3 linked regions of the Struthio camelus genome follow. The main gene of each other region encodes a partner of the protein of the gene in region 2 in a complex. Links are inferred from orthologs where the notes say so. Each region holds a gene or a part of one and is shown on either strand. Other genes may lie near its edges.

Region 1 (7,527 bases), on a different chromosome or scaffold from region 2:
GCCCCGAGCCCCGGCCGCGCGGTCACCTTGCGCTTCTTGCGGCAGTTGCACTGGCCCATGGTGCTGCTGGCCGGTGGGGAGCTGCTCGGCGGCGGGTGCCTTCTCCGACGGATCCGCGGGGTCCTGGGCGCCGGCGGAGGGGAGAAAACCAGCCTGAGCGCTCGGCCCCCGGCGGGAGTTTTCGGGGAGGGATGCGGCGAGCTGCCGGGACGCGTCCCGGAGCCGGGACAGGTCCCGGCCAGGAGCGAGGCGGCGGGGGCGCCGGGAGCGGGCGACCCCACCCCGGGGGGCCGGCGGGAGCCCGGCGCGGGGCGGCGGGGTGGGGGGGCCGCTTACCTGCTCGGCGGGCCGGCCGGGCTGTGCGGGGGCCGCGTCGCGCCGCCGCCGTTTTATACGGCGGGGAGGTGCGAGCGGGAGCCGCCGGGGCGCGTTTCGGAGCCTGGCCCGGGGCCAGCGTGGGGCCGGGAAACGCCTCCCGCCTGGCCGCGGCCGCTGCTGCCCGCCGAGCCCGGCGCGGCGCGTGGGAACGGCGGGCGGTTCGGCGGGCGCCGGGGCCGGGGAGCGCAGCTCAGCCGGGGCGATTCCCGCGGCGGCCGGCGGGACGCCCGAGCCCCCCGCCGGCCGACGAAGCCGTGCCCGGGCGCCGGGGAGGCCCGGTGATGTGACCCCCCCCCACTTCGTCGCTCCTGCCCGCTGGCGCGTCTCGGTGGCCGCCGGGGCCCTCTGCCCTGGCCCCGGTGCAGGGCGGCTTCGTGACACCCCTCCCGCCCCGGGTGCAGTGAGTCTGCAAGGCCTCAGCCCAGCTCCTGCCGGCTCCGCGGGGCTGAGCAGGATGCTAGCCGGGGCTGGGGGGGGGGGGGGGGGGGCTACGCAGACCCTCAGGACCGAACGCTTCGGTGAGGGGCTCCGCCGGCCCGCCCCGCGCCGGAGCCATCCGGGGGTGGCGGGAAGGGGCCGGGGGGTCCCGCCGGGACAGGGGTCCCTACTTACCCCGCTCGCGGCCCCCGGCGAGGCTTTACGGGGCAGAGCGCGGCGCTTTGTCCCCGGCCCGCGGTGTAGGGTTTCCCGTGGCGTTTCCCGCGGCGTTTCCCGCGGCGGCCGGACGCGCGGCCGGACGCACGGCCGTCCCCCGGTCTCCTCCCTCCCCGCCCGGGCTGGGGTCGGGGCCGGGGTCGGGGCCGCGGCGGGGCGACCAGCCGAAGGCCAGCATGTTTTTCGTGGGGGTGTGAAACCACACGTGCGCCGAGCGCAGCCCGGGCTCAGCGCCGACGCGGAGCGGGCCGCGGCGGGGGGGCGAAGGCAGCGCCGCGGCCCGGGGCACCCCGAGACCCGGACGGGCTCGACCCGCAGTGAGTGAGAGTGGTGACTCAGCTGCCCACTGACATCATCCCTATTAATAGTGGTCTTTGTAGAAATTAATTAATCCCAATTAATTAGGGGGTGGGAATTGCCCCAGCGTTTAATCATGGTGTATTTTTAACGCGGTCGGCCTGGCCGGTTTCCACCTGGCGCAGGAGCCGGAGCAGGTGCCCGCTGCGGCGGGGCCGTTCCCGCGGGGGCCAGCGGGAGGGGGCCGGGAGGGGGCCGGGGTGCGCCGGGGCGGCATCGGTCGGGAAAGCCGGGCGGGCTGCCAGGTTGGCTGGGGTTTCCCAGGGGAGCCGGTTTTCCCACGGGGCGTTTTGGGGATCCGACCCTGGGCATCACCGGGCCGGTGCCGCTGAGCCCTGACGCGCTCACTCCACCCGCGCGCGCGCTTGCGGCGTGGCGGTCCGCGGCCCCAGCTCACGGGGCAGGAATTGGTTTCGTGCAGCCCCGTGGGGCCGGGCCGGAGCGGGACTTCCGCCGAGCCCCGCGCCAGGGGCCGGGGATGGGCGGCGGGAAGCGCCGGGGTGAGTCGGGACGGGTTGGGCTGAGTCACCGGCCCCAGGAATTTGGGGCCAGCCCTGGAATTTGGGGGGCCGAGCGGGAGCAGGTGCCGGGAGGAGCGCCGCGGCGGAGCGGAGCATCCCGGGGCCGGCGCGGAGCATCCCGGGGGCCGTTCCCCCCGAGCCCGCCGCGCGCCGATCCGTCGGGAAAGGGCTGCCGGCTCCCCGCGAGCCTCGTCCGCCCGCCAGCCGTGGGCCGGGGCGGCGAGATGGGGCCCAGCCCCGGCACCAGCAACCGGAGCGACCGGTTGGAGCAGGGGAGTCGGAAGCTGGAAGCGGTTGGGAGGGGTGCGCCAGCCCGCCGGCCCGGCTCCCGGTTTGGGAAGAGGGCGCCCGGCCGCGCGGGGTCCGGGCCGCGTTGCACAACGGCGGGGACGGGACGGGGGGGCCGGAGGGCAGCGCGCGCCCGGTGGAAACGGGAGGCGAGCCGGAGAGGAGAGCAGGATATAATTAGCTCCCAACGAGGACTGGAATCTGGGATAAAGATTCCCCGGCACCACCCGGCTCTTGCGAAAAGCCCAGGGCCCCGGCACGGGCAGCGCCGCCCGGCACCCTGGGGTGCCCCGGGGCTCGGGTGCCCCCCCCCGGGGCCGTTCCCGCGCCGGGGCGCGGGAAAGGCCGCGGCGGGGACGGTCCCCGGCGCGCCACCCGGCCGCCGGCCCGTAACGAGAGCCGGGATTATCGGCCTCGCTGATGCCAGCCGGGAATCCGGTTTCTCGGCCGCAGCAGCCTTCCCCGCCGGGAGAGTCGGGCTTTTGTTCTTTTTTTTGCATCGAACAAGAGGCCTTTCTGCGCCCGGGGGGGGGCCGGGCGGCCCCGAGGGGCCGGGGCTGCGTCACCCGATAGCCACCGCCGGGCCCCCCACCCGGCTCCGAGGACACCGGATACCCCGCGGGGCCGGGGCGGCCCGGCTGCCGGGGCCGAGGGCCGAGGGGGGCCGACGGACGGGGGCTCTGGCCCCCAGCGCCCACCCGGGAGCCGACCCCCGTGGCTCCCCCCGTCCGGCAGCCGGCACCTCGCTCCCGCCAGCGCCCGGCTCGTCCCGTTTGGGGCACGGGGTGCAAGCAGGGTGGGAGGGAAGGGGGGGGGATGCCGGGCCGGGAACGCCCCCTCGGCGGGGCGCGAACGCCGCCGGGGCCGGAGCGGGCGCCCCGCGCGCCGGCTGGCCCCCGCGCCAGCTCCGTGCCGGCGGTGCCAGGCCGGCCGGCCAGCCGCGGTGTCGGATCCTCCCGGAGGGAGGGGGCTTGGAGCTTATTTAACGGGCCCGGGCGGCCGCGGCCGGGCGCATTCGGAGCCATGGCGTCGCAGCTGGAGGGGGCCATGGAGACGCTCATCAACGTCTTCCACCACTACTCGGGCAAGGAGGGCGACAAGTACAAGCTGAGCAAGAGGGAGCTGAAGGAGCTGCTGCAGAGCGAGCTGGGCTGCTTCCTGGAGGTAGGGGCCGGCGCGGGCACCGGGGGCCACCCGGGCGCGGGCCCGGGGGGGCTGCCGAGCCCCGGCGCTCGCCCTCTGCCCCTTCCTCCGCAGACGCAGAAGGACGCGGGCGCCGTGGAGAAGATCATGCAGGACCTGGACGAGAACGGCGACGGCGAGGTGGATTTCCAGGAGTACGTGGTGCTGGTGGCCGCCCTCACCGTGGCCTGCAACACCTTCTTCTGGGAGAACGCCTGAGCCGGGCCGGCCCCCCTCCCCGAAACGCGGAGCCCCCCGCCCCCCCCTCGCCCCCCGGGGCATCCCGCCGGCATCCGGCTCCGCAATAAAGGCAGCGACCCAGCCGGCGGCGTGCTGTCACCTCCTTGGTCGCCGTGGATGGCGGGCACCGGGGTGGGGGGGCGCGGGGATGCGGGGCGGGACCGGCCGGCCGTCGCGGCGGAGGCGAGCGGCGCTGCGCCCCACGGGGCTCGAGGAACCGGTTCCCGCCTCCTCCCGGCGGGCCCCACGCAGGGCCGGCAGCGCCATCGCCTGCCGGGCTTGGCGGCTCCGGCGGGAGCGCTCCCCGAACGCCCCCTCCGGCACGGCCCGGGCCTCCCGCTCCGGCCCCTGGGGTCTCGGCGGGGCCGGCGCGCGGCGCCCCGCTGCACCCAGCAGAAAGCAAGGGGCAGCGGCGGCGCTGGCCGGCCGGAGCTGTGTCCTGCTCGTGGGCGACCCGAGGGTGCGCACAGACATCCCTGAGGGACCCCCTCTGCCCGACGGCGGGGTCTGTTCCCCCCCCAGGGGCGGAGGAGGCAGGGGCGCGGGCCGGGACACCCGCCCCACACGTGCTGCGGGCGCGGGGGGCTGTGGAAGCGGCATCCAGCCTCGACGGAGCGGGCGGCGGCCGCGCAGCACCGCGCAGCACCGCGCACCGCCGCCGCCGCCCGCGCCCCCCCGCCCCGCCGTCGAGGCCCCGCCCCGCCCCGTCGAGGCCCCGCCCCTCCCCGTCCACGCCCCGCCCCGGAGGCCTCGCCCCGCCGTCGGGGCCACGCCCCCTCCCCTAGGCCACGCCCCCATGCGCCTCCGGACCCCCGCTCGGCCGGCAGGGGGCGTGGTCACGCGCGGCGCTTGGCGCCTGCGCCCTGCCCGCCCTGCCCGCCCGCCGCCGCCATTTTGCCCGGCTCGGCGCGGCTGCTGGGGGAGGGAGGGAAGGTGCCGCGGTCGTTGCCGCCATTTTGTCGCTGGCTCTCGAGCGCGGCGGGAGCGGGCGGAGGGGATCGGAGCTGAGCCCCGCACCCCACCCGTCAGCTGTCCGGCCAGCCCCCACCGGAGACCTGGCGACCGTCTGCTTCGGTGAGAGCCGCCGGGCCTGGCCGGGGGCGGGGGGCGCTGAGGGGAGGCGCGGGGTGGCCTCAGGCGGTGGGGGCCCGCCGCCTGCGGGGTCAGTGCGGTGCTTTGCCCTGGGCTCGGCCCCGGCGGCCTCGCGAGGCGCCTCGGGCGGGGCTGGGCCGGGCCGGCGGGGCCAGGCCTCGCCCTGCTCCCCGGGCCCGGCGCTCGGTGGGTTCCTGTCAGCGCCGTTCCCCGCCAGCTGCTCTGTGCAGTTTGCGTGGGCAGGGGGAAAAAGGCTGTTTTGAAACCACCTTTCCCCCCCTCCCCGGTGTGGGGGAAGTGCTGCAGCGGATTATTAGCTCCGTTTCTAGCTGAGCGGGCTGTAGAACATCGTAAAAATCTTATTTGTTGCTAGTAGCTTGAGGATAAGTGCTTTTGCCAGTCACCTAAGCGCTAGATACGTTATTAATCATAAAAATGAGGCACTGATCCGAACGGTTAGCGGGCTGAGCTGTGTTCCTTAGCGTTTCAAGTTGTAGTCATCACTGCTCTCAGGCCTGAGCTGTGATCCAAAGATAATAACAGCTGGGTTTAAATCCCTTTAGCTGCTCTCATGAGCAATGTGATGAGGTTTCATATTAGAGAGCCGCATTGTGAGTGCTGGTGAGCTGCCTGTTAGAGTATCACATACTCGAAAGCTGAAGTAACTGCGCAAACATATATAGGTTACCCCTGTGCAGCCCAGCTGTGGCAATCCTAGGGTAGTAAGAGGGAATGTGACCTTAATATTTTGAAAGTATGTAGGTCTTCTGTAGGAAAAAGCAGTCTTTGAATAAGCTTTGGGGTGTGTGGGTTTTTTTTTTTTGGTATTACCGAGTGTGTGGTATGCCTCTCTAAGATGGAAACCCCATTTTCTGTTTTATTGATACTAACTGCTTAGAAGCTGTAGAAGTGTCACTAGGTGCAGTACCAAACAAGATGTTTGGGTGCCGTCCTGGCTGCTGATGGACTATGTTTCTGCAGCATTACTCCTACCAATGGCAAATCTTCCCTTTCTGAAAAGAAGACTATTTAGTAAGGGATGAGCCAGCATAACTTGCTAGCTTAATAAATTTACTGCATCATGACAATGGCCTAGGAAACTTGAGATAGAGTGTTTTTTGCCAAGTTCTTGGCTCTCTCCACAAAAGGATCTGGAATGGAATGCAGGTTTCTGAATGTTTAACCACGTAAACGCGAGTTCTCCTGCTGTTTTTTAAATCAGGCTCTCATGTTTTGCAGATTCTCTTGATCTGAAGATGGCTGCACAGTCAGCACCGAAGGTTGTGCTAAAGAGCACCACCAAGATGTCTCTGAACGAGCGGTGAGGAAGCCAACAGCAGCTTCAGCTCATAAGAAATTTTTTACTTAATTATCACTGTCTGGTTTCCAAAAACCAACGTGGTTTCTGCCCTGTTTTAACCTCGCTATAACAAGCAGATGGCTATGCACCTCTGTCTTAAACTGCAACAAATGTGGTACACAAGGTTAAAAGGGCAATTATTCTGGAGAAATTTATCCGTAGCAGTTAAAATTAAACTATTCAACACATAAGTATGGTGGGATGTGTTATGACAAAAAAGAGAAACCTCGCACCCTCCCTTTTTCTTCCACATGTTTTTACATTTATATAGTTGACACTGCAGCATGGTAGCATGTTACCTAAGCTGCAGTAGGCTTGCTGCTTTGTCCAAGGCAGACACACGTGCATGTGGTCTGGCCTGTAAGAGGCAGGCAGCAGGCCATTAAACAAGCCCAAAGGCCCTTTAACAACGTTTTGGGCCTTGTAAGAGGCAAATGCTTTGCTCCATCTCCATCTCTCTCTTTTCTTGGTGCTGAGTTCTTTATTTCTTCTGCTGAATATCCTCCTGCTTTTCCATGCCATTACGCTTTTGTGGTTCTGCAGTGACAACTAACAGCAATGCTTCAGTTATGTTTCACCTTCTCGCTAATCGCTCTTGGATTAACCACGTTAATAGCATTAGGCCAGGGAGAAATGAACCATTTGTATGCAGTTCCTGTTCCAGCAAGTGCTGCAGCGAGACTTAGTCTGAACCAGTGCTTGGCTTGCCTCCTGGAGAAGAGGAATAGTGAGGTGCAGTGAATGCTTGCTGGCCTGTTGCTGTTTGGTCAGTCCATACTACTCATTCTGTAGTGCTTTATTTTGCTGTCCTGGTAACTCCTAGGACACAGTAGAAAGCTGATGGGTTGCTGCTAAGGAAGCTTACCATCTTGTTGTATGTTCTAGGCCATATAGCTCTTAAAGGCAGAAGGTTCCTCATGCGTCAAGGAAAGTGCTAGATAAACCGTTTTCTATAAATGACTACACTCAGATGGTGGTGTTTCTTGTGGCACCGTTTCTGTGGTGTGCTGGAGGCATACCAGTCTGTTCTCAGGGCAAAGTCTTTTATAAAGCTGTCTTCTGGGGTTGAGTCTTTAGAGAATTTTCTCAACTCCGTGAGGTTATTTTGGCTTTTGCAGTCAGATTTCAGTTGGCTTTTCTACTTCTGTGCAATGTCCTCTTCCATCTGTCATGGTCATCTCTGCTTATTGCTTGTTTTCATTCCTTCTTCCATTTCTAAAATCGGTAAACTAAACCTTTACCACTTCTGAATTAATACACAACATCATTTCTAAGTTTCCAGTTCTTGCACATTTGTGGAAAACAAGGAATACGTAACTCACATATGACGTGACCTAAGTACCACTCTTTACATAAGGTTCATGGGATCTGGAGATCCAATCTTGAGAACCATGAAATGCCAATAAATGTGTGTAATAAAGCTTTATTTAAACACCCATTTTATTCGACCTTGAA
Region 2 (7,824 bases):
GTCTATAGTCACTACTGCTTAGGTTCTAATTACGCTGCCTTACTAACCCACATAACGACGCTAAGGATATGCGAAAAAAAACCCTTATCCTCCAGTTTTTGGACAATAAGGTCTTATGCTGACATAATGATCACATGAGCAAAACTCAAGTTGGTATTTTTCATAATACTTCAAAAAAATAGATAAATCGTTATTTTAAAAGTGACTTCATTACTGGATTTAAAACTTCACTGTGTGTTGTTTTGTTTGATAAACAAGCAGTTTTTTCTCTTAAAGAATTGCAACTCCTACAGATTACAGCAACATTACAAATCCTACATGCTTTAGGACATAGGCTGATCATCACCCTACTACACAAGATCACGTAAGAAAACATAGATCATCTTAAGCACTCATTATTAACCACAGCGGAAGTTGAAGTGTTAGATAAAGACACTACCATTTACTTCTCTCAATACAGCAATCTTCACGTTCCCTAATACATAAAATTAGGTTTTATTTAGGTAACTACTAACTCTCAAAATACAATCTTGGGCTGATCTGATCAGATCCCATAAGTCATTTTATATACCAGTAAATAGGTATTTTCCCATATAACCTAATCTTTTCTTTCTACTTACAATAAGTTTTCTTCTGCAATCTTTGACTTTCAGTGAAGTTTGGTATTTGACTCTCGGTGACTAAGCCTACCAGTTTTAAAAACAGATATCCATACAAGAGGGAATGGATGACTTTGTGCATTGGCTTTATTAGAGCAGGCCTCCATATAGAAAATGAAATTCCAAGTTTTTTTGCAAAGCCCGTATTTGCTACAACTCTCCGTTTTGTCCATTTATGGCCTTCTCCTCCCCACCATGCCTTTTGCAGAATACCCGATTTATATTTTGGGGAGATTCGTAGATAATTCAAAGAAAAACATGAAATACTGCTTTTGTTCCTTCTTTAATTGTTACGAATATTTAAAAAATAGCACTCTTCCTTTTGGAAAGCAAATCAACTGGAAACGCCACATACATAGGAACTTAACCTATCATTTTGTTTTATTGGCCCCACAGCAAACTAGAATATTTTCCTCCCAGTCACATTTAAGAAATACTGCCTTAGGGGGAGAGGAGAATCATAAAAGGCTTTATCATGATCAAAAATTAAGCTAACTTGCCCTTCTTCCCACAGCAAAGTTCTGAGAACTCAAAAAACGCAGCAACCATTACACGGTCAATTGTGAAACTTCTCTCCACGTGCAAGTTTCATACAAACTCAGTAATCATGCAAGTTACAAAAGTTGTAAGCATATATGACTTCTTTGGGCAAAAATGGTTTAAGTATCACAACAGGAAAAAAAAATAGCAACATTTTATGTAAAAAGACAATATTTTATATTTTATTATTGCCACTTGTGCATTTTCAAAAGGTATCAATTAGTATATATTTGTACATTTTAGTCTTTGTTATTCATATAGAAGTTTCTAAAGTAAGTTCATTAAAAAGGCCTCAGTGCTTATCACAAACATTGCTCAGTTGGATACAAATTCAGCTATTGCCATATAATCTTAAGCAGAAGGAGATTAAAAAAAGCAATGTGAGCCTCATCTTTGTTTGTGGGCTCCTGAATACTTTATCATTGTCATAAATGTAGTTACAGTACACCTCTTCCTTGGCCTTTTATTATTCATAATATATACCAAAACATGTAACCTGATGTGCTAACACGATTATTGCTTTAGGACCGTTCAAGGACAATAACAACATGGCCAAAAAAAGCAGGGGGGGGGGGGGGGACTTTTCACTATAAAAATGGAGGTAGAACTTTTTTTTTTTTTCAGTAGGGAGCCTCTATGTTTCCTATTCTGTACCTCACTACCTTTTCTTTTCTTCCATGCACAGAGATTACCACAGCTGCACAATCTTTTAATATATAGGAACAAAAAGAAATAATAAAGGAAAGACTATTAAAAAGTCTTACTCATAAAATGATTCCCAAATATCTTTATTTCAAACTTTTTGTTACAATAAAAAGCACAAGCGAATGGAAAATTAATATGAGAAATTTTTTTCAAATATATAGATAGGAAACTGGGCACCCACATCCAAGCTAACACATTAATTTAAATTTGAGAAACTGGTAGATAACCTCCCGAAACATAACACATAGCACATTCAGTCCGCCTGCTAGCTTAGAAATTGCTCAAGACAGAAATATTCAAGACCCTGAACGGTAAAGTCCCTACCACACCTGGATGGATTTGGGAAGCTAAGAGGAGACCCTTTAGAGCACAAACATTGCCCTGCAGGATAAGTGGGGAGGACTAGCTGATCCTACCTAGCCCGGATCAAAGCAGACAGCGCTAAACACCTCGGAGAGGAGAAAGCAGGGACAGGGGTCGAGACCTCGACCGAAAAGGTCAACTTTGAGAAGCCAGCGAGGCAAGGAAACATCAGGCTCCATCTTACCTCCACGGGCCCGGCTGAGCAGAAGGCACCCGACACCCGATAAACCCGACCCAGAGGCAGGAAGGGGGCGCTCGGGCCCGGGCAACGGCAGCCAGAAGAACTAGGCCTAGCTGGCAGCGACGGGGCCGAGTTTCGGCGGAGATCGTTAGGGAGCGACAAAAGCGGCCGAGGTGGACGGAAAGGCGGTCTGGGCCCACCGCCCGACCAGGGTTTCGCCTCTACGGCCCGACGACGAGGGCACAGCGAGTTGCGTCCTCCCCGCCCGCTCCCACCTCCTCACCCCCTCACCCAGCCTCCCGCGCCGGCCTCCCTCCCGCCCTCCTCCGTCGAGACCCCGCACTCACAACTCGCTCTTGCCCGCTTTCTCCCAGTTCTTTATCCACTCGGCAGGGAGCGCCGCCGCCGTCGCCATCTTCCCCGTGTGGCGCCGAGAGCCCGGATGGGGGAGCGACGGGCTCGGGTCAGAGGGGACGGAGCGGCCCGCGAGGCATGACGGGACGCGGGCCCGCGGCACCCTGGGAGACGGCGCGCGCCGTTCCATGGCCCGCCCCTCCCCCTCCCCCCGCGCGGCCGCCGCCTCAACCGCCGCCGCCGCCACCGCCCCCTAAATACCGCGGCGGCGGCGTCCCCGGTGTACCCTCCTCGCTCCCTTCTAAAGCCGAGCCGCTAGCAGCGCTCCGAGCCGCAGGCCGACCCGCTACCGCCCAGCTTTAGCTCCACCCAGGAACTGTCTGCGGGCGGTGCCGCGCTGCCTTGATGCCGAGCGAGTGGCCCCAAGCACACGCCACACACCGGCCCCAGCGCCCGCCCGCCCGTCGGGAGAGTGACGCTCTCCCGCGCGCGCCCGCCTCGCCTCGCCTCGCCTCGCCTCTGCGCGGCGGTAACCGACTCCCGGCTGCCCCGCACCCAACGCGCAGGTTAAAACCTGCGCGTGTTCGAGGAACCTCCTCAGGTAATTTAAATTTATAACGGGCTGCGCAGCAAACAGTCAGCCCTCCGACTGGGTTATGACCTCACTGTGCGGCTCTCGGTCCACACATCTGTAACAATAGTGCGAATTCGAGTATTTTTTTTTAACCGGCCGAGGCGGGAAACACACCAAGTGAGATCGTTTGAGCATGTTAAACGTGTTTTATGCAAATGTGACACGGTATGTAATCTGTATTCCAAGCTCATTGAAGAACAGTTGTAACAGTTCTTTTACTTTTCAAATCTTAGCCTCGGAATTCAGATTCCAGATGCGTTATTTGCAAGCAGTAAGAATTTTTCTTCAAAAAAAAATTTAGATTCTAGAACAGGAATAAAGCTACTAACTGCTCCCACTTTGCTTTGCATCTCTGTTCACCGCCCAGAAAACATTCCTGACCCTTTAGTTGTGCACAACCTGTGGGTTGGTGTCAGTGCTTTCCAGAAGGAAGGAGACAGTACATGAGAGTGACAGTAACTAACACGGAGTACAAGTAGGTTATACGCTTATGTCTATTGATCCGCTCCTCCAGTAAAGCTAGATTGAAAACATATCACCACTTCTGGGATGTGGCCTTCCTCGTAAGAAACTTCTTCCTCTAATTCACAGGGACTCAAAGCGAAACATTATGTGAGCAGCGCATAGCTTTGTGTAGGTGTGTTGCACAAGTGAAAAAAGGGGAGTTAGACTAACTGACCCTCTGAGAGCTGATGCACAAAAGTAAAGGAAAGCATTTAAAGGAAAGGATTTAAGGAAAATAGACTTAAAATTTAGGTATGACTTTTCAGAGCCTAGTGCACCTGAAGGTTATGTGCCACTCAACTAGTATTTCAGGGTATTTTGCTTGCTTTTAAAATTCAGTGTATTTGGAAAGTCTTCGTGGAATCAGTGTGTCTGTGTGAGTGTGCACATGTCTTCAGTTGTTGTAAATATGTGGAGCTTCAAAACATTATAATCCTATAATCACTCAAAATTCAGAGACCCTTGTCCATGTTGATGAGCTCTCCCCACATCCTTTGTGAACCATGCTGCAAGATGAAGAGGGTTTTTCTTCCAAAATAAAAAGCAGATTTTCTTCCTCTTTTGGCACAACATTTCTACCAATAAATGATCAAAACAAATTTTCAATAACAATTTGGATAATATTGTGAAGACTAAAATAATTTTCATTACTCCCTGACAAGTCAGGGCAAATTATTTTAATAGATTATGTTATTGACTAAATTCATTAAGTTAGTAAATATGGTAAATTATTTTAATAATTTTTTTAAGTGTTATGTGAAAATGATTGTGAAAAATCGAAACTGCTTCTTAGTGTATATTACCCTTCCTCTGGCATTCCTACCACAGTCACACTAACGTAACATCTTTCTAAGGTAATTTTTGTATGAAATAAGATACAACAGTGAACCCCAAACCTGCAAGTACACACTTCCCTAATTGATTATAGGGCATCAATTTAAGCATATATTTTAATCATGTGGTTTGAGCTAGTGAGGTCATTATTTACAGTAGCAACAACATACCATTTAAGAAGTGAAATGTACTATTTAAGTGTTTTGCACTCTGCCACCGCTTTCCACAGAAGTATTTTGTATTTATTCTGTTATGGCCTTCAATGGAATTCAAAATATCAGTGATATATTGTACTATGTTTGAAACTTGATCTTTTTTCACTTGGTGTGTCCTCTTAATTACAGATGTAAAAATGTAAACAGCTGTATGGATGTTCTCCTCTGATGATCATCCCCAATACATGTGCCCGTCTCACTGTGTGTTATTCTTCTCTGCAAGTTTCTCAAAGCCGTTCTTAATTTATTTTGATTGTTAATTGGGATATGTGAGTTAAGAAATATTTAATTTGCTCAGGCAGCACACATGGTTAGTCTTCCATAAATTCCTCTTACCTGTCAGTTGTAAAGTCTTTATTTTGTCTGCCTTCTCAGTCTTGTACATGGTTCTATTGGGATATAAATCATTTCATGAACGTGATAAAACTGAAGAACAGCTGCACGTTGAATTTGAGCTGCACATTTGCAAATGTGAAGTTTTAATTTCATGATGAGGATGAAAGGAGGTTAGTGAGGAAATACAGAAGAATAAAGCAGTCTAGTCACTGCAGCAACAGAAAGGTTAAATCCCAAGTTTATTCAAGGAAACTAAACTACTTATTTTGTGAAGTATAATGCTAACACTGGAACAAGCTGAATATGAAGGTAGCCATTACATGCAATATAAATATTCATGCGACAGAAACAATTTGAAAATATAATTGAGTATATTACAGTAATAACTAATATTCTATAAAATCTGTGAAAAGCATGTACTTACACTTGCTGATATGTTTCTTGCTGGAAGATAATCACTTTAATATCAAGATTACCTTATTATATGTATGCGAAAAGTCATTTCAGGTCAATATAGCAACTTCATGTTTATTTTCATTATAACACTGGGATGTTTGTCTTCATATGATAATGAAAACACTGCAGCAACAGTTTCACAACTATACATTGCAAAACTCCAGCTTTTCTTTTAGTTGGAGTTTGTAATTTGACAAGGAGAAAGCTAACAGAAACAAATTAAAATATTGTGAACCCAAATATGTGCTCACACAATTGAATTAGGTTTTCAGTTAGGTATACAAATGATCCAGATATAGAGATTACTTAACTGTTCAATGTTGCATAGTCTTGCAAAATACTGACTGCTTCTGCAAATACTTAGCTCTCTCTACCATCATTGACAGCAATTTCTCTAGAAATAGTCTGTCTTCTCTCTTGGCCAGAGCTAATTAACTTATTTTTAAAGAACATTGTGTTCTCTCTCTCTCTCTCTCTCTCTCTCTCTCTCTCACACACACACACACACACACACACACGTATATTTAAATGTTTACTTCATACAGTGCCAATTTACTTACATTTTTACTAGCTTAAAGTCTGTGGATTTTTGTAGCTTTGGCCTGTGGGTCTGGGCCTCCTACAGTAGTAGGTTGCCATGTAGCCCTAATTAATGAGTGGCATTGTATACTGTTTACAGTTTAACTAGTGATCATGATAGTTAATAATATGAGGGCAGACTTTCAAAGATATTAAAGATGCAACTGGGCCCATAAAAAGATTTTACAAAAGTAGGTTAGATGCCTGGCTCCCATGGGTTTCAATGGGTCTGTTACAATTACCCCATTTAGATACGTTTACCTAGCAGGCACCTGCCTACATCTTTAAACCTACAAATATATTTGGAGTGCTGAATCTTAGACTATATACAGTTAAAGTATAATTAAAGTGTGATATAGCTTCGTAGTTTTAGGATGAGAGTTTTATGTGGTTTCATGGCTTCTAGAGCTTCACAATGAGAATGTCACTGAAACGAATTTTAGAAAAGCTAGAAGAGTGTTTTACATCAACCATTCAACAGTGATTCAGTGAAAGTGTGTCATTATTGTAAGAATTGGGCTATTAATTAAATGGTTCATTAATACTTAAATACTTATGGAATAATTAGACCTGAGATTAAATTACAATAAATGATTATCAAACAATTTTACCAAATCAGCATTGCTGTATTTACTATATTGTCTGTATATTTTATTTATACTAACTAAATGATATAATTAAATTGTGATGAGTGGTACAACTTTTACAGTAAAGGAAACATATTAGCTATGAGTGCTGATATATGGGAGTTCTTTTGTGTGGTAAATACTTTGTCAGTTATTTACAATCCATTTAGAGCTTATTCTTGTGAAAATTTATGCTGATGAGTAATTTTACCTGCTGAGACTTGCACAGACTAGACATGAGTTAAGTTTTTCCCTTATATAAAGGTTTGCAAAGTCAAGTCCTTATGCATTACGTTTCATTTTGTATGTAATAGTATTGATTTGTAGCTCAAAATTATTTATACTTTTCAACACATTGTAATTCTCAATTCCAAATTATTCTTTTCGGGTTGTTAATAAAAGGAATTTGGACTATTAAATAATTATAGGTAGTGTATTATTAAACACTTTCCTTGTAAGTCCACAGGAAGTGAAATCTTTTTCCGGAAATGATTATCAAATGGAGGACTACATATTTCCAATTTCACCTTTAGAACTACATCATCCAAAAAGGAATGGAGAGCATGTATAAAAGTATGACTCCAAATATACTTGTGTTTTAGAGAGATATTTATTCCGGACTCAGTCTGTTTTCCATTGTTTCCATTAATTTTACTGATGCTGTTGTATTTTTCCAGTGTAAGATAGATATGAGACAATAAACAGATATAGATCTTTATAAGGGACCTCAGAGAAGCTTTCCAACGCTTGGCTAAAATATATTTTAGGTGGGCATTATGTTTACAGGGTTGAGAGATTTTTGTAGCTTAGTTTTTATTACTGATATGAATTAGCACAA
Region 3 (7,873 bases), on a different chromosome or scaffold from region 2:
TGGTTTAGAGGTATTTTATAAGGATACTTATGGTTTTGATGGGTGTGTGACTGGCATGGCCATCTTTGTACATGTGTAGGCCGCATATTTTCTATTAAAAGCTGGAGGAACGTACTCACGCGATTCTCAGCGCTAGGAGTAAGCCTGTTTAATTCTTTTGTCTTGCTGTTATAGTGTGCTTTAGTACTAAAGTCACCTCAATTGTCATATGAGCCTTGCTGGATTTTTCCTTGGCCTGAAAACATCTTCTTGAACTACTGTTTAGGTTTTCCTGTTGCTGCACCTCACTGAGATCTATTGGTTCAATCTTGTCTGCCTCATCAACCAAAAACTTTCAGTAGTTTAACTTTACTTCAGCAGTTTTGAATGAAGATAGTATAATTGAGCATTATGTGCCTTACAGTAACAATTAGGTATTAAATCATTTGAGTTTTAATGTAAGGTTTTCTGAAGAAAGGGTGGGGGGAGTGACCACATTTTCACCCTGAAAGTAGAGTTTCTGAAGTAAGTGTATGAAGAAGAATTCTCCAAAAGCATAAGTTTCCAAAGTGAAATGATGGCAATATACATACACACTGTTCTATTACTGGATAAGGGAATTCACAGAGTGCATGTGAAACCCACCAGAACAAATATAATATTCACAAAACCAGCATTTTCCCTTGTACACTCAGAGATTTGGAAACTATTTTCTAATACAATATATTTTAAAAGGTAACAAAATAAGCAAACTGCTCAGTGAAAATACAGATATTGCTCCTTACCCTGGCGATTTTTTCGAATCCTTTTTGCTTGCAGGATTTGCTTTTTGCATTCAGAAATCTTCTCGTGTGCTGCAGCTATACTATTTTCTTTAATAAAAAGAATACAGAATTATACTGAAATCAAACAATACATGTCAACAAACCAATCTGCTGCACTACAAAAAGGCAAAGAGCCATTTGTGACATGGTGGCTTCTTAGCTCCATCAGCTTCAAAATTACACATACTTCAATGGGTTTAAAAAAAACTTTACTTGCATGTATTTTAGATACTGACAAGATGCTTAGAGCTTTTGTATCAGTGTTATCTTAAAAAAAATAAATCTTTCATCATATTCATATATTAGTTTCACCAGCACTGGCTCAAGCTTCCTCACACTAGAGAAATAGTCCAACAGAAAACAGTAATATCTGTTACCTATATCTTTGTAGATTTTTTCATAATTCTCCATTTCTCGCAGGTTCATATCATACACGAGAAGAGTTTTTCCCATTGAAAATTCACACTGTGATAAAGTACTCAGCATTCGTTGGTACTGGCTGTAACTGAAAGCAGACAAGATAGTTATTCCTAAGCAGCATAAAACAGTCACCTACCTTTATAAAGCAAGAAGCCAAAGCCTGCATGAGTAATTTAAGCAACAGTTAAATAACAGCAATTATTAAACAAATAAAATTCCAAAGACTCAATGTATAATTTTTGAAAGTGCAGTTAGAAACACTGCACCAACTAGTTCTATCACCATGCCCTTAAAGGTGCAAAGTGAGTATTAAAGCTATGGGCAGATTGATCCAGGGATTATAAACTTCCCAACTGGGGCAGGCTCTGCGCTCACCGAGATTAGTATTTTAATACTGTAGCACTCCTCTGTATATACGGCGACTTCCTGGAATTTATATCCAACAGTAGCAGAGACCTCACAATACAATACTACACTGTTGGTCAACTTTTACAACTCTGACCTGTTTTAAAAAGAAAAAAATGCAGCAGAAGACTAACGTTATTGTCCTTACCTAACAGGACAAACGCAGAACTGCCAGCTAAAACATTCAAGTCATGATCCTGTTACAGCACCGGGACTCTTGGGCCCGGATCACGAAGCAGCACTGGCGCTCAGTCATTTCTGAGCCGTCTCCTGCCCTGATGCTCGCTGTTTGTGCTGGGAGCACCGCAGAGCCACACTGACACGCACGGGTGCACATCTTAACAGAAGCGACTCCCCCCTCCACACACCCCCCCAAAACCCCAAGTTTATTCCAATTTCCATTTAAATGTACGCTGTTATTTCCCAAGACTGAAAACAGAAATACCCTTCCTCCTGGGATCCGGAGTTGCACCATTTAATGAAACTCTTCACCAGGAGGTTGATCCGCCTGTCATCACCCGCGCCATCGCCGTCGATGAGGAGCCGCTTACGGATCACTTCGTCTGGGGCGGGAAAAGGGGCCGTTTTTAACCGCCGGGCGGGAGGGCGGCGGGGTCCCGGCAGCCGGGGCCGGGCCTGCCTCCTGCCGCTGAACCAGGGCCGTCCGGGCGCTTTTCATTTACAAAGCGGGTGTTTTTGAGCGGGGGGGGGGGACGGAGCGGGGGCACATGGCGGGACAACGCCGCGGGTGGGCGAGCGCGGAGGGCCCGAGGCCGCCGTGAGGGGCCGGGAGCGGCGAGAGGGGCCGGGGGGCGGCGTGAGGGGCGCCACGATGGAGGGCCCGAGGCCGCCGTGAGGGGCCGGGAGCGGCGAGAGGGGCCGGGGCCGCCGTGAGGGGCCGGGGGGCGGCGTGAGGGGCGCCAGGATGGAGGGCCCGAGGCCGTCGTGAGGGGCCGGGAGCGGCGAGAGGGCCCGAGGCCACCGTGAGGGGCCGGGGGGCGGCGTGAGGGGCCGGGAGCGGCGAGAGGGCCGGGGGGCGGCGAGAGAACGAGGGCCGCGGGCCCGGGGATGGTGGCCGGTGCCGGCAGAGCGGCTCCCGCGCCTGGGGAGCGGCGCGGCGCGGCGGGCCCGGCCCCGGCCGAGGCGGCGCGGGGAGCGGGCCGGGGGACGGCGGGCAGCGGGCGGGCGGGAGGGAGGGAGGTCTCACCGTCGGTCACGGCCCCCATGGCGGCGAGCGGCGGAGCCGGCGGGGCGGCGGCAGCAGCGAGTGAGGTCAGCTTCCCACAATGCAGCCGGCGAGAGCGGCGGCCATGGAGGGGGAGGCGGCGGCGGCGGCGGCTGGGGCCTGAGCCGGCTGGCGGCGGACGCGCGGCCCGGCGGCGGCGGCGGAGGCGGCGGCGGCGGCGGCGGGGAGGGCCGGCGGGCGAGGCTCGCGCCCCGCGCGGAACCGGCCCCCTGGCGAGGGGCGGCCCCGCCAGGTGAGGGGCCGACGGGGGAGGGCAGCGGAGGTCCCCGCGCTCGCAGCCAGGCTCCTCCTCCCCGCCACCGCGCCCCCGGCCCCGCCGCCGCCGCCGCCCCCCGCCCGGCCCGGCCCGCCATGCCCGCGGCACATGCTCGCCCTCGCCCTCGAGGCGGCCCCGGCGGCGGCCACCCTCGCCTCGCCCGGCCTCGCCGCCCCGTCGGCCCCCGGCCCTGCTGCTCTGCTGCTGCCGCCGCTCCCCCGGGCTGGCGGCTCCCGCCCGGCCTCGGCCCCTCGAGGGCGGCGCTGGGCAGGGGGGCAGCCGTCGTGCCCGGCCTTGGACCGTTGAGGGCGTCACTGGGGAGGGGGGCAGCCGCCGTGCCCGGCCTCGGCCCCTCGAGGGCGGCGCTGGGGACGGGGGCAGCCGTCGTGCCCGGCCTTGGACCGTTGAGGGCGTCACTGGGGAGGGGGGCAGCCGCCGTGCCCGGCCTCGGCCCCTCGAGGGCGGCGCTGGGGAGGGGGGCAGCCGTCGTGCCCGGCCTTGGACCGTTGAGGGCGTCACTGGGGAGGGGGGCAGCCGTCGTGCCCGGCCTTGGACCGTTGAGGGCGTCACTGGGGAGGGGGACAGCCGCCGTGCCCGGCCTTGGACCGTTGAGGGCGTCACTGGGCAGGGGGACGGTGGGTATGCCCAGCCTTGGCCTCTCGAGGGTGGCCCTGGAGACAGGGACGGTGGCTGTGCCCGGCCTCGGCCTCTCCAGGGTGGCGTTGGGGAAGGGGACAGCAGGGATGGGGACAGCAACAGCTGGCAGCAGCCTGGTGCTTCCAGCAGAGCGGAGGCAGCATGTGGGGGCTGCGGCTCAGTGCTGGCCCCGTGCCGCGGTGGCTGTCCCACGCTGCGGCCACAGAGGCTAGGCCCTGGCAAAAACGACCGTCCTAATTGCCTTATTGGGGAGTTAGGCTATTAACAGCCCATAGTAGTAAGAGTTATTTCTTCCTTCCCTGAAAAATTAACCAAAACTGGCACTGGAAAAAAGGGATAGGGGTGTCTGGAGAAAAGAGATACTAAGGTGTTATTGGTATCAAGTGTTGAGTTTTAGCTTTTTGAACCGCAGGCTTTGACACCTAGGCAGTGCTGAAGTTGGCAACATTACTGTAACATATGTCATACTATAGTCATGATACGTGAGACGTCTGCACACCGTGGTACTCCCCCTTCGTTTTGGCTTGGACGCTAAGTAGTTTATTGACTTGTTCTGCTCCAAACATTTATTTTCCTGTCTCGGTCAGTGCTTTGTTTTGACAGTTTTAGGGATGTTTGGAAAATCAGTGTAGGAAAAGGACAAAGTCTGTGCACGCTATAATCTGTAGTTTGCTGGTTTAAGGCTGTGAGCCATCACAAGGTTCTTTTTGTTCTGGATAGTGGCATTTAACAGGTATTTACATACTGCTAGGTTGTTTGAAGCCAGTACTTTGTCTTCAGTAGTGACAACTGTCAGGGTCTCTGCAAGGTGCTACTGAGAAAGCATTACACCCCCTGAAGTTTAGAGAGTGAAGAATTTCCAGTATAGAAAATCTGGAGAGGTAACTTCTGGTCTTGAAATTTCCGTATATTATTATGTGATTTGTGAGTGACCTAGTTTATGTGATGATCTAACTCTTCACTTGATTAAACAAAGTTTGGGCCCAATAATACTCTAAAGCCCCGAGTTCATGAGCTATGTACGTGTCATAAAAATGTCTTTCTTCTGAATTCTGAATTTCTTGCCTTTTAATATACTTGTTTTGACAAAAATCTTTGCTTTTTCTGAGGCATCGATCACTATGATATAGCCCTAGCGTTCTGGCAGAGGAGAAGAAGAATGTCTAACTGAACTTCTCTGCATGTATTTTATACAGTGTGGTTTGCTGCTGCCTTTCCCTTTTTACCCATTGATTACCTCTCTGAACTACTATCTTCAGCGTCTTGAAGCATCACTGTCTGACCTAGACTTAATATTTTTGTTGCCCTTCTTTTAGCTCTTTCCATTTCCACTTTGGAGGTGAGCTGATCAGAACTGAAAATCCACGATTATTTATATCATCGCATTCTAATACTTTTATGTTACGATCTGTCATTTAATCCAACATAACCTTTCTTGATTTTTTTTGTTCCTCATTCTAGTGTCGGTCAGATACCCTTATGAAACTCTCCACAATGACAAATAGATATTTCTTGAGTAATTAATTCAGAACACAGCAGTCCATATGATTAGTTAATCATCTTTAATGACTTTTATGCCATTCTCATCTTCTTATGTGTCACTGATTACAAAATTCTTACTAATTCAAGAACATGCTTTCTGTGTCTGGGTCTTAGGCTCATAACAGCAATTTAGAGAACAAATCCATTGTTTTCCCTTTTTAAGGCAGGGCAGATTCTGTGAGCTACAGTCTGTTATATAAACTTCAGTTAACTGGCAAAGATACTAAGTAATATTGGGCCATCCTTCAGGAATCAGTATTCAAAAGTCAACTGAGATTCATGCAATAGGAAAAAATGTTCTTACACAGGGCAGAGCACCTTTCTCTTCACCAGCTCTTTTGGAATAAGTACCTGTGTGTGCAGGCTTTCAACCAAGTTAAACATGAGGTAGTTCTCCCTCTTGCTTTAAATTCCCTTGTGGATGCCATATGGTAAAATCTGGAAACAGCTTATACATAATAATTTATTGCACACCTGTCCTTGTCAAAAGTGTGAAATGATGCCCTGTAATGTTCCCAGGTGACTCTGGTTACAAGACGTATGGGCTGGGTAAGTTTAGTACTTACTGCAAGGTGTTACACGTGTGTGCAACTGGTTCAGATTTTTCATCTGTATCCTTTTTTTACTGGAAAATGGCTTTTAAGTGTCCAGATATTTTTAATGGGATGTGTTAATGTTGAAATTTTCTTTTATGAAAAAAACAGTGAATTTTTTTAAGTTAATTTGACTTTATACCTCCTCCCCTTTTCTTTAACTATATAGATATAATCTTTTTTTTTCCCCAATTGCAGAAAAAGTGAAAGGGGAAGAAGCTTTTTATAATTTTAAAAGCTATAATATGCTATGATTTTTAGAGCTAAGGAAACAACCTTAACTATTGATGAGGTGGATTTAAAATATTTTTCCTAAGCCACACTAATAATTTATGAGGTGGTTTTAGATTCCAGGTTTTCTTCGTGTTGAATAACTTCTAAATCAAACTGTTGTGTGGCACTAAATCTTACAGAGATCTAGCTATAGTAGGTCACACATTACAAGATATTTTTATCCAGTCTAACCTATATTCTTGTCAGAAAACCATACCAAATTTATTTAGTGAGACCTATTTTCTGTAAACCTATGTTAAGCATTACTTTTTATCATCATCTTTTATTTCTTTGTTGAATGTATTCCCTGATTTTGCCCAACGTTGATGTCACACTAAGCAATCAGTGTTTCCTCATTTTAAATAACGTTAGAGCGCGTAGCCTCTTTAGCCTCGGTATTTACTAGAAACTAGCGTCAGTGTTTCAAGAGCTTGTCAGCTAGTTCTTAGGCATGGGCTATGTAGTTCTGCACGTTTTAAAGGGCTTACTTTGGGCAGATATAACTGAAATGTTTCAATTCAGTGATTGGGGGAAAAAGTAGTAGGTTGGTCGGTTGGTTTTTTTAACATACAGCATGGTTCTTAGTCTTGTAAAAAGCTTTCCTACCATGCACCCTTGTGTTTCTGCAGAGCTAGCACATTTCCATGGAATTAGAACGTGACAAGAGAAGGCAGGGTGAAAATACTTGCTGTGATTGTAGTGATAATAATAATAATTTTTAAAAACCCCACACTTTATTATCCAAACAGTAATCATTTTTGCTATCTACTGCCTGTGTTACCAAGACTGATTACATGTATTCTAATACTGTACTTTAAAAACCAGTCTTTTATCAGGTAATGATGTAATCACAAGTTGTGGGCTACAGGATTGTTTTTTATGTCTTATTTTTCAAGCGGTTACTGAAAGACGCCTGTCAAATACCATATTTTTTTGACTGAAACACTTTGCAGAATTGAAGTCCTGGAAGTGTTCTGGTTTGTTTCAGTTTTTGTAAGAAAGATATTTCATTACTACTACTACTTCTTTTTTCGTGAAGGCATATTCAGGGAGACAAAAGCTTATCTTAGCAATTTTTTGAAAAAATAGTGCTGTAATCTTTTTAAATCACTTTTTCTTAAGTAAGGGCCCTGTCTCTTGATTAATCTAGATTATACTGATGGCATTTGGATATTGCCCTTTTTCTGATATCTTCACGGGAATTATATAACAGCCTGCAACGTACCATAAGATCAATTTATTATGCGTTTTAAGGTGAGCCGTTGCTACTTCATTAAAGCTTGTCAAGCTAAAGTTGAAATTATATGGTGCTGGAAGTTGAGCTATTCAGTGCAGCGACCTGGGCTTGCAGCTGAAGGGGTGCCCTCAGCTGATGAAAGCGCCCCTTGCACACGTATCAAAAGATGCTTTAATTGAGATAGCAGAAGAATCAAAAGTTAGAAATGGTACACCAGTTGGTGATACCTGTTATCCATAACTTAGTAGGTCCCTACTTGTTAAGAAAGTCAACGTGTTTTAACAAACGTTTCCCGAAAGTCAGAGTCATGAGACTGCTACAAGATACATCAGAGGGTTAGATTTTTTGTTTTATCTAAAAGTTGTTAACGCCATAGACTTCAGCTGCCTGTGTGATACACAGGAGATTCCCCACTGCTCCTGAGTCCACGACCTCAAATGA

What was found.
Region 1: THOC2 (region 2) and CHTOP share a complex: the UniProt entries of both Homo sapiens proteins name them as parts of the transcription/export (TREX) complex. The link is inferred for Struthio camelus from reciprocal best matches to the Homo sapiens genes THOC2 and CHTOP.
Region 3: THOC2 (region 2) and THOC7 share a complex: the UniProt entries of both Homo sapiens proteins name them as parts of the transcription/export (TREX) complex. The link is inferred for Struthio camelus from reciprocal best matches to the Homo sapiens genes THOC2 and THOC7.

Annotation. Positions count from the first base shown.
Region 1 is NC_090971.1:4,711,073-4,718,599, reverse strand, and holds the start of CHTOP (chromatin target of PRMT1 protein), read left to right. Parts: upstream 1-4,503; 5' UTR 4,504-4,694; intron 4,695-5,951; 5' UTR 5,952-5,968; coding exon 5,969-6,033; intron 6,034-7,527. Other genes in the region: protein S100-A14-like, read right to left, coding at 27-59; S100A1 (protein S100-A1), read left to right, coding at 3,222-3,362, 3,456-3,599. UniProt on the Homo sapiens protein: Plays an important role in the ligand-dependent activation of estrogen receptor target genes. May play a role in the silencing of fetal globin genes.
Region 2 is NC_090952.1:11,068,893-11,076,716, reverse strand, and holds the start of THOC2 (THO complex subunit 2), read right to left. Parts: upstream 3,023-7,824; 5' UTR 2,993-3,022; coding exon 2,796-2,992; intron 1-2,795. UniProt on the Homo sapiens protein: Component of the THO subcomplex of the TREX complex which is thought to couple mRNA transcription, processing and nuclear export, and which specifically associates with spliced mRNA and not with unspliced pre-mRNA.
Region 3 is NC_090955.1:12,526,818-12,534,690, forward strand, and holds the start of THOC7 (THO complex subunit 7 homolog), read right to left. Parts: upstream 3,025-7,873; 5' UTR 2,855-3,024; coding exon 2,836-2,854; intron 2,192-2,835; coding exon 2,074-2,191; intron 1,309-2,073; coding exon 1,181-1,308; intron 852-1,180; coding exon 765-851; intron 1-764. UniProt on the Homo sapiens protein: Component of the THO subcomplex of the TREX complex which is thought to couple mRNA transcription, processing and nuclear export, and which specifically associates with spliced mRNA and not with unspliced pre-mRNA.